Linked DNA regions of Arabidopsis thaliana. Each later gene encodes a partner of the first gene's protein in a complex. Each region holds a gene or a part of one and is shown in the gene's direction. Other genes may lie near its edges.

What was found.
Region 2: WIT1 (region 1) and RANGAP2 share a complex: the UniProt entries of both Arabidopsis thaliana proteins name them as parts of the ran complex.

Annotation. Positions count from the first base shown.
Region 1 is NC_003076.8:3,632,017-3,637,461, forward strand, and holds WIT1 (WPP domain-interacting protein 1), read left to right. Parts: upstream 1-1,632; 5' UTR 1,633-1,761; intron 1,762-1,942; 5' UTR 1,943-1,954; coding exon 1,955-2,552; intron 2,553-2,653; coding exon 2,654-3,843; intron 3,844-3,943; coding exon 3,944-4,123; intron 4,124-4,258; coding exon 4,259-4,402; 3' UTR 4,403-4,597; coding exon of another isoform or gene 4,598-4,908; 3' UTR 4,909-4,918; downstream 4,919-5,445. Other genes in the region: DXPS3 (1-deoxy-D-xylulose 5-phosphate synthase 3), read left to right, coding at 13-269, 359-637, 722-1,006, 1,085-1,234; AT5G11400 (Protein kinase superfamily protein), read right to left, coding at 4,598-4,908, 4,997-5,106, 5,260-5,326, 5,411-5,445. UniProt on the Arabidopsis thaliana protein: Together with WIT2, required for the nuclear envelope docking of RANGAP proteins in root tips.
Region 2 is NC_003076.8:6,504,592-6,509,446, reverse strand, and holds RANGAP2 (RAN GTPase activating protein 2), read left to right. Parts: upstream 1-1,801; 5' UTR 1,802-1,919; intron 1,920-2,008; exon of another isoform or gene 2,009-2,015; 5' UTR 2,016-2,155; intron 2,156-2,472; 5' UTR 2,473-2,499; coding exon 2,500-4,137; 3' UTR 4,138-4,355; downstream 4,356-4,855. Other genes in the region: ARIA (ARM repeat protein interacting with ABF2), read left to right, coding at 28-167, 251-314, 396-475, 650-714, 834-951, 1,041-1,165, 1,253-1,352; AT5G19315 (Defensin-like (DEFL) family protein), read right to left, coding at 4,547-4,728, 4,849-4,855. UniProt on the Arabidopsis thaliana protein: GTPase activator for the nuclear Ras-related regulatory protein Ran, converting it to the putatively inactive GDP-bound state.

The DNA of each region.
Region 1 (5,445 bases):
TTTTTGTCTCAGACAGACGCACTTACAGTGATTGCTTTGTTGAGGCTTTGGTGATGGAGGCAGAAAAGGATAGAGATATTGTTGTAGTTCATGCAGGAATGGAGATGGATCCGTCACTTCTTACATTTCAGGAGAGATTTCCAGACAGATTTTTCAATGTCGGAATGGCTGAACAGCATGCTGTCACATTCTCTGCTGGTCTTTCTTCTGGAGGTCTCAAGCCATTTTGTATTATTCCCTCTGCTTTTTTACAAAGAGCTTATGACCAGGTTTCACTTTCCTCTAGCACAAAATAAAATTGTTCTAAAAGGTTTTTATTACAAGCAAATGGCCTTAGTGTCTTTGATGGTTTCTTTAGGTGGTCCATGATGTAGATCGGCAGAGAAAGGCGGTGCGATTTGTTATTACAAGCGCAGGGCTTGTTGGATCCGATGGTCCAGTGCAGTGTGGAGCTTTTGACATAGCTTTCATGTCATCCTTACCAAACATGATAGCCATGGCTCCAGCCGATGAGGATGAGCTTGTAAATATGGTTGCAACTGCTGCTTATGTCACTGACCGCCCAGTATGTTTCCGGTTCCCTAGAGGCTCCATCGTCAACATGAATTATCTTGTCCCCACTGGATTACCAATTGAAGTAAGTTCCAATCTAATCTTCAAATCTTTTGGTTGCAAAAACAGACCGTGGTGACACAAGAACTGCTTTATCATATTAGAGTAGATCGGAAGAGGAAGAGTTCTCGTAGAAGGTCAAGATGTGGCTTTACTTGGTTATGGAGCGATGGTTCAGAATTGTCTTCATGCTCACTCGCTTCTCTCGAAACTCGGTTTGAACGTGACTGTAGCTGATGCAAGATTTTGCAAACCCCTAGACATCAAGCTTGTGCGTGATCTTTGTCAGAACCACAAATTCCTTATCACTGTCGAAGAAGGCTGTGTTGGAGGGTTTGGTTCTCATGTGGCGCAGTTCATAGCCCTCGATGGCCAGCTCGATGGGAATATCAAGGTAGAGAGACAAATCAAAACCTCATGTTCTCACCTGTTTTTGGTTTTAAGTTGTAATTTTGCTCTTAACATTGTGTAGTGGAGACCCATTGTGTTACCGGATGGCTACATAGAAGAAGCATCGCCTAGGGAGCAGCTTGCTCTTGCAGGGCTAACTGGACATCACATAGCAGCAACCGCTTTGAGTCTTTTGGGCCGAACTCGTGAAGCATTGCTTCTCATGAGCTAGCTTAACCTTCTCATATGGGATTTACCTTCACAAGAGACTTAAAGAGGAGTTTCTTAAACAGAATTTGTAGATAATACATTCTGAATTCAAGAGCCCATTTGATATCCTGATTTTGGAATAGCAATCTGCTATGTATTGTAAATGTAGAGTTGAGAATTGACTAAAATAAATTCAATTACTTTTTAGGCGGTATCTCAGTTTTCATATTCTCAGTTAGTTGTTGTTGTTGTTGTTGTTGTTGTTGTTGTTGTTGTTGTTGTTGTCAAGTCTATTTGGTGTAACAGTCGCATGTCCCAAATCTGGAAACAAACAAAATATAGAACAGAGACGTGTATTTTCGATACTCGAGTTTTTTTTTAATAAAAGCATCTTAAAAAATTAGTAAAGAGTTACTGTCAAACAATATTCGTTTAATTACAAATCCGAGTCCTTCTTCTTCTTCTTCTTCTCGATCTCTGTATCTCTCGATCATTTCCTTCTAAAGGAAGCGTCTTTGATCTTAATCGTCGTGTCGTTCGTTTCTAACTGTAAGTTTTCTCCTTTTCATTCATTTTGCTTCAATCTCGATCGGAATCAAGTAAAAAATCGGAACTTTTACCTAGATTTCCTCAGGAATCGAAAAGTTCTTGTGATTTAGCAGAACCTCTATTGTTTCCGATCTCTTAATTCAATTACTTGACAAAAGTGATTATACTTTCTCTGTTGCAGTTATATTGAAAGATGGAAACAGAAACGGAACATGATAGAACTGTCTCTGTCGATGACAACGACAGCCTTGTACCTGAGCCAAGCTCAACGAAAGAAAGCTTTTTTGAAGATCTCTCGCTTACTGGGCAAGTTATGAATCCTCAACTTTCAAGTGCAGGCGAAGTTTTGACAAAAGTTGAATTGGATTTTGCTTTTGTCTCTGAGAAATTGGTCAATCTTAGTCTTCTTACTATGCAACTCGGCACGAGGGAAAATGATTTTGAGTCTTTTGTTTCTAAGAAAGAAGAAGATGAAGAAGAGCCTTCGAGTAATGTTGATGATGATGATGATTCTGCTGAGAAGGCATTGGAGTTTGATCTCTTGTCTTCAATTCTCAATTCAGAGGTGAAAGAACTTGAATCGCTTCTTGGTTTTCTCCAGAACGAGATTCAAAGCGCCCGTGTCATGATATCTCCGTTTCAACATGATGGAGAAGCTTTCTTGGATTTGGAAGGGAAGTTGAATGATACTGAACAATCTTTGGGTCAGTTAATGGAACAAGTAGTGGAAATGAAGAAGCAATCTTCTAACTTTCAGAGGTTATCTTCTGGTTTGGATGAACAAGGAAGCTGTAAGTGACCAATCTAGCTTTCTTTTTAACCTTGTTGTGATGATCACTTGGTGAGAAAAATTTCAGGCTTTAATGAATACTATATAACTTTGTTTTTGCAGGGTCTGGAGGGCAAACTTCAGTGTCTCAAAACGATGGTGAGTTTGGTGATCTGAGCGCTAAGATCAATATGCAGACTGCTGATCAGCAAAGGAATGTTTTAAGGATGCTTGAGAAATCTTTGGCTAAGGAGATGGAACTTGAGAAGAAACTAAGTGAATCAAGAAATACTGAACGAGAACTAGAGATGAAACTGTATTCTTCTGAGCAGGATGTTGTCTACATGGAAGAAGTAACCGAAGATGCGTTCTCCAGGTGGCTTGAGGCAGATAATGCTGCTGAAGTCTTTAAGGGAACGTCAAAGGAGATGTCTGGAAAACTCCAGATTCTTCAGTTCAATCTAAGTGGCTCTTTTAAGCGGGAAGACAACTTGAAGTCTAAGCTTGTTGATTCAAAGGAACGTTTAGAAGCTAAGGAATGCGCCTTGCACAAGCTTGATAGCAGCAATGCAAGACTTGCTGACTTTCTTGTGGCACAAACAGAAGGCTTAAAAGAGAGTTTGCAAGAGGCTGAAGAAAAATTGATTTTGTTGAACACTGAGAATTCCACATTAAGTGAGAAAGTTAGCTCCCTTGAAGAACAACTGAATGAATATGGGATTCAAACAGAAGATGCGGATGCTACTTCTGGTGCTCTGATAACAGATCTTGAACGTATCAACGAGGAACTGAAAGATAAATTAGCCAAAACTGAAGCAAGGGCTGAGGAAACAGAATCCAAGTGCAAAATCCTAGAAGAAAGCAAAAAGGAGCTTCAAGACGAGTTGGGGAATTTCAGAGACAAGGGCTTCACTATACATAAGTTAGCATCGCTTGAGAAACACTTGAGGGACTCAGATCTACAACTAGAACATGCAGTTGCAGCTGTTGAAGCAAGTAAAGAAAAGCAGAACTTGTTATATTCTACTGTTTCTGATATGGAGGATGTGATCGAGGATCTAAAATCAAAAGTTTTGAAGGCTGAAAACAGGGCCGACATTACCGAAGAGAAGTTGATCATGGTATCTGAGTCTAACGCAGAGGTCAACGAAGAACTGAAATTCTTTAAGGGTAGATTGAAAGAAGGGGAGAAATATTTACAGCAAGCAGAAGAAAGAAAATTGCGAACCGCCAAAGATATCGGGGTACATAACAAGATCATGAAAAAACTGGTCATGCAACTAGCTGCTGAACGAGAACGACTTCATAAACAGGTATTACCATATTCGTAAAACCCCAGTTCGCTGTTAGTTCATGTCCTTGTAGCTTCATCATCATCACAGTGGATTCTTAGATATAGTGACTTATTTGCAGATAACTAACCTGTCAAGAGAGAATTGTGTGTTGATGGTGAAGTTGAAAAAGGTTGGAAAAACTGGTTATATGGAAAGTGGCAATGGAAGTGAAGTTTCACCAAAGTCGGACCAGAATGCTTCTTCTTGCCATCAAGGAAGTAGACTTCAAGCCACCTTCATTTCATTAACTAATCCAGAGGTAACATAATTCTACCTTACAAAAAATCTGATCTTTTGCTGGCATCTAAGTGAGTTATACCATTAAGCTTTAGTCCAACAATCGAATATTATGAATCTAAGCTTGACGTTAGTAACCGTGGTCACCTTTTTGTAGGAGGAAGAAACAGGTTCAAAATCAGATATTGGAAGTGTAAGGAGATTAGATGTTGGAGCTCTTAGGTTCAAACACATTCTCGTTGCAATACTCGTGATCTTAATATCGTCGATAGCTTATGTTATATCCCAGCAAAACATGTAAGAGTCTTTAACTTTTTCCAAAATCTCAGTCTCCAGTTTTGTACTCTCTTTGTCATAGTTTACAATGACAGATTATATTTTAGTTCTTTTTGGCTACCCAGTTACAGAAAATCTGCTATATAATTAACCCCGACACTGGTATTTTGTGTTATTACAATATCTTTTTCAGTGTCAAGTATTAGTACCTCTCTACACATTAGTCCTTAATCTCTGCAATATGATTAAGACCATCCAATACTTGTTGCATCAATGGCCGTTTCTTTGTATTATGCGCTGTGCATCGGTTGATGAGTGTGCCCATCTGTGTCGCCGCATTCGCAGAATAATCGCTCCCAAGTCGGGGATCGATTATTTCCTCAATCTTATAATTATCTGGCAAGAAAGATGAGGTCCAGTAATCTACTAAGCCTTGCTCTTCCTTAATCTTTTTTCTATCCTTGGAACCCATTAAAAGTTCAAGCAAGATCATACCAAAAATGTAAACATCGGTCGTCATATCCAAAATACCTAACACATACATTACACAATTGTCTTAACGTTGAACAACGAAAGATTTTTCAGAATTTGTAAAACGAAAGTTAATGCTTTCGTGTACCTAACGATCCCCATTCAGGAGATAGGTATGTAAATCTTCCCCTCTTGAGACCTTCATCTACCAAGCTTCGTTTGGTTGGTTCGAGATAGAACAGTTTTTGCATTGTATTGCTGATGAAATCCAAACTTAGATATTAATTTCTAAGATCATAAACAAAAAGAGAGAAGAAGGATGGAAATAAAACAATTACCACCTCGTCAAGCATAATGTTATGCATCCTGAGTTCTCGGTTTAGGGGGCTGTTCTTGATCGAGTGAAGAAACGCGAGACCTTGAGCTGTTCCAATGGCTATCTTAACCCGTATTTCCCATGGCAATGCCTCTTCTTCTTCTGTTGAGGGAAACGTAAAACTATAGGTAATGCAATAGTTGTCTATATCTTAGAATGGACCCATTAGCTAGAAAAGATCTTAACTTCCGAAAATGTGACTGTCCAAACTTCCTTTGTGC
Region 2 (4,855 bases), 2.9 Mb from region 1:
AGTTAATATTGAGTTGTCTTTTGACAGGGTTGGAGTTGCTACTCGGTCTTCTTGGTTCTTTAAACACTAAGCAGCAACTTGACGGTGCAGCAGCGTTGTACAAATTAGCAAATAAATCTATGGCACTTTCTCCAGTTGATGCTGCTCCTCCTTCTCCAACACAAAGGGTGAGTTTCCTTTCTGCTTCAGTTCTCCTATAGGTAACGGGTGGAAGTCTCAATGCAGTATTCTGTATGTCTTTTTGTGACAGGTTTATCTCGGAGAGCAATATGTAAATAATGCTACGCTGTCTGATGTAACCTTTCTAGTCGAAGGTAATCATATATAAATCCAGAAGTTGTGGAACTCTAGTTAGCTTCAAAGTCCATATGTAAAACAGAAAAATCATACTGCAGGAAGGACATTCTATGCACACAGAATTTGTCTGCTGGCATCCTCAGATGCATTTCGTGCAATGTTTGATGGTGGTTACAGAGTAAGTGAACTAAATATTTTGGTTTTTCGATAATGTTCTTGTGGGGTAAATGATATTTTGATGACAATGACGTATGGATGTATGCTGGTCTGCTATTTATCAAAGGAATACAATTATCTTTTGGGGAAATTAGACCTGAATTGTGTCACGGTTTGTGTTTCGTTTATATCACAGGAAAAAGACGCTAGAGATATTGAGATTCCAAATATCAAATGGGAGGTGTTTGAGTTAATGATGAGGTATGATGAATGAACCTCTGCATGCTTTTGATTGACTCACTCGAGATATTGAAATTTCGAAAAGTCTGTGAGAACTTTTCATATACACGTAATTGACTCCCTTGGATTATGATTTTCAGGTTTATATACACTGGATCTGTCGACATAACAAATGAGATATCAAAAGATCTTCTAAGAGCAGCGGATCAGTATCTCTTGGAGGGCCTGAAACGACTCTGTGAATACACAATTGCTCAGGTGAGCCAGAATTATATCACAATGTAAAGTGATGATGTGGTTTGCGTAGTACTTAACGAAATCTGACACGGTTACTTTGAATATGAAAGGATATTACGTTGGAAAGTATAGGAGACATGTACGAGCTATCAGAAGCATTCCATGCGATGTCGCTGAGGCAAGCTTGTATCATGTTCATCCTGGAGCATTTCGATAAACTGAGTTCAATGCCTTGGTAATATAAACAAGATGTCACTCTCTCTCTCCACTAAGATTTGTTTTATTGCTATTAGTCTGAAACAAAAGTGAATGGAAAATGCAGGCAGAACGAGCTGGTGCAGAGAACAATACCAGAGATAAGAGAGTACTTTTGTAGAGCCCTAACAAAGTCTACTACAAACCTGCAAAGCTTGAGGTTGTAGAATGCGGAAGAAGAAGACTGCACTTAACTAGAGGTAAGTAGACAAGGAATTATATAGAGAGAAAGAGAGAGAGAGATCAAGAGCCGCCATTAGAGGTCTTTATCGTCCTGTACTGGGTTGTCTTAGTTATTTGCTGTGCTTTTTGGTTCGTTTTGGTCATTTTGTATTGTATTAATTAATCTCCTCTGATCACAATCGGTCTTGAATGAAATCGCTACCCTTTGTATCCAAAAATACCATTGTGGTATAACTTCCACTATTCAATTCAAAATCCACTCTCCAACTATCCTCTCTGTTGAGAAAAGATACTTTGGGTAGGTTGTGACTAAGCGTAGCTGTAACGATTTGATATTGGTAGTGGTGACCAGTGAGTTCATGTCTGAATAATTAAGAGATGATTCAACACAGAACATAATATCCCATTTTTGTTTTACAAATAAAGAATCAATCGAAAGTATTACTGATGATTAGAGACTGTAACTTGTAAGTATTTTGTAGCACAAGCCACTGAAAATTACATTACACATAAAGGAGTTTTCTTTAACATGAAAGATTCAAAATTACCAGGTTGGTTCTAATTAATTACGTTTTCTTCCAAAGTGATTAATTACTCAAGTCACGATGAATTATTAACCTTTCTCTTTTTTTTTTTTTTTAAATTAGTCTATAGAGACTTTTGGTTCAACGAACGTAGGAGGGAGTTTTAAAGAGCTCCGGTGAAGGAGAAACCCTAAAAACACACTCGATTTTGCAGCCAGAGAGAGTCTCAGAGCTCCGAGATTCAGACAATCTTCATCGGTCCGGTACGCTTTTCATTTCCGTTTATTCTCATCGCAAACGGATAATTATTTGTCTGATCCGATTTTACCCTGTGATTAAGCACCGATGTTCCTTCCTCGTAGTTGGTGATTTAATGCTTCTTCTCGAAACTATCCACTTATAGGATCTCCGATCTTTACGAGATTACTCTCCTTAATCTCTGTTATTGATTTAGTCACAGCATTTTCTGATTTATCAATTAGTTATTCCTTTGGGCTCAATGTTAATCCTCCTAAGTGATTAGTGATTACGATAGAGCCTCCTCTGATTATTTCTAACTTTTGTGTGTATGTTTTTGCAGTGATATTAAAACTCTGGATTTGCGATAATGGCTGATATACTTGATTCTCGACCTCATGCATTTTCGATTAAACTCTGGCCACCGAGTTTACCTACAAGAAAAGCTCTCATTGAGCGTATAACCAACAATTTTTCTTCCAAGACTATTTTCACTGAGAAGTACGGTAGCTTAACCAAAGACCAGGCTACGGAGAACGCTAAGAGGATCGAAGATATTGCTTTTTCCACTGCTAACCAACAGTTTGAGAGGGAGCCTGATGGTGATGGTGGTTCAGCTGTACAGCTTTATGCCAAAGAATGCAGTAAGCTTATCTTAGAAGTTCTCAAGAAAGGACCTGTTGCTAAAGTTGCGGCAAGAGAATTGATTTCTGAGGATTCTGTGTCTCCCCGCGAAACTTTTTTCGATATTTCTAAAGGTAAACGGGCTTTCATTGAGGCTGAGGAAGCTGAGGAGCTTCTCAAACCTTTGAAGGAACCTGGCAATGCCTACACTAAGATATGCTTTAGTAATAGGAGTTTTGGCTTGGGAGCTGCTCGTGTCGCTGAGCCTATCTTGGCGTCTTTGAAAGATCAGCTTAAGGAAGTTGACTTGTCTGACTTTGTTGCTGGACGACCTGAGCTTGAAGCTCTTGAGGTTATGAATATATTTTCTGACGCACTGCAAGGTAGTATTCTCTCGTCTCTCAACTTATCAGATAATGCATTGGGTGAGAAGGGTGTTAGAGCGTTTGGGGCACTCTTAAAATCTCTGAGCTCTTTGGAAGAGCTGTATTTGATGAATGATGGTATCTCTAAGGAAGCTGCGCAAGCGGTCTCCGAGTTGATTCCTTCAACAGAGAATTTGAGGGTCCTTCATTTTCATAATAACATGACGGGAGATGAAGGGGCACTCGCTATTGCAGAGGTTGTCAAGCGTTCCCCACTGCTGGAGAATTTCCGTTGTTCTTCCACAAGAGTCGGCTCAAAAGGGGGAATCGCCTTGTCAGAAGCACTTGAGCATTGTACTCATATGGAGAAACTTGATCTGCGGGATAATATGTTTGGCACAGAAGCCGGAGTTTCTTTGAGCAAAACTCTTTCAAGCTTCAAACACATGACTGAGCTTTACTTGAGTTATCTAAATCTAGAGGATGAAGGTGCCATAGCCATAGTAAACGCTCTAAAGGAGTCTGCTTCGCCCATTGAAGTTCTAGAGATGGCAGGAAATGACATAACAGTTGAAGCTGCTTCAGCTATCGCAGCCTGTGTTGCAGCAAAACAAGATCTGAACAAGTTGAATTTGTCTGAGAATGAGCTGAAAGATGAGGGATGTGTCCAGATTGCAAATTGTATAGAAGAGGGTCACTCAAAACTGCAATACATCGATATGAGCACCAACTACATAAGAAGAGCCGGAGCACGAGCCTTGGCTCATGTTGTTGTGAAGAAAGAAGCTTTCAAGCTGTTGAACATTGACGGGAACATCATATCAGAAGAAGGCATTGAAGAATTGAAAGAGATATTCAAGAAATCCCCAGAGTTACTTGGAGCTTTGGATGAGAATGATCCTGATGGAGAAGAAGATGATGATGATGAGGAAGACGAAGAAGATGAAGAGAACGAAGGTAATGGGAATGGTGAGCTGGAATCGAAGCTGAAGAACCTTGAAGTTAATCAGGAAGATTAAGTCTGTGATGTTGGTACTTTTCAATGTTTTTGTTTGTTTTGTACCAGTATTATTACTCTAGCTGCTGCTACAAAGACCAAAACATATTTGAGACATTGGTGTTAGTTTTATTTTTGCCGATAGCTTATTGGTCCTTTTTGTTTAAACACGATTGTATCGCTATTCTGAGGTCATACCTATGAGCAAAACAATTTTATATTCTATTTGGTTTGGTACCGTTTTGGTTTAGATACGATTTTAAACAAATTTTGTTAACTTGAAAAGTTTAAACTAACGTGAAAGAAGTTTTCAGGAGTGACCATTTCACATACTAAAGATATAATCAACAGTGAAGACAAGATTTTGAGTTTAATACTAGTTAGAATAAGCAATCGAGGATTGCAAACGCAAGCATAAAAACATATTTTTTTTAACAGTAACAATGGCATTTTTTTGCTCCACCAGCAAAACGTTTGCAAAAACCGCCTTTCTTATTATCACATCCATCAAGACACCATTTGTTGCATCTCTTTCTGTCTTGGTATGTGTTGCAAGCTCCAAATTTCGCATGTGTGTTACAGCACAACGAACTTCCGGATCCTTCAACGACATCTATAACATGCAAACAACAATTTTTCATCTTTAAGATTCACGTAAAGATCAAACAAAAACTTTTTATATAATACATCTTTGTATCCCCAAAAATATCAAAATTTATGGTGAGAGACTAACCAATAGA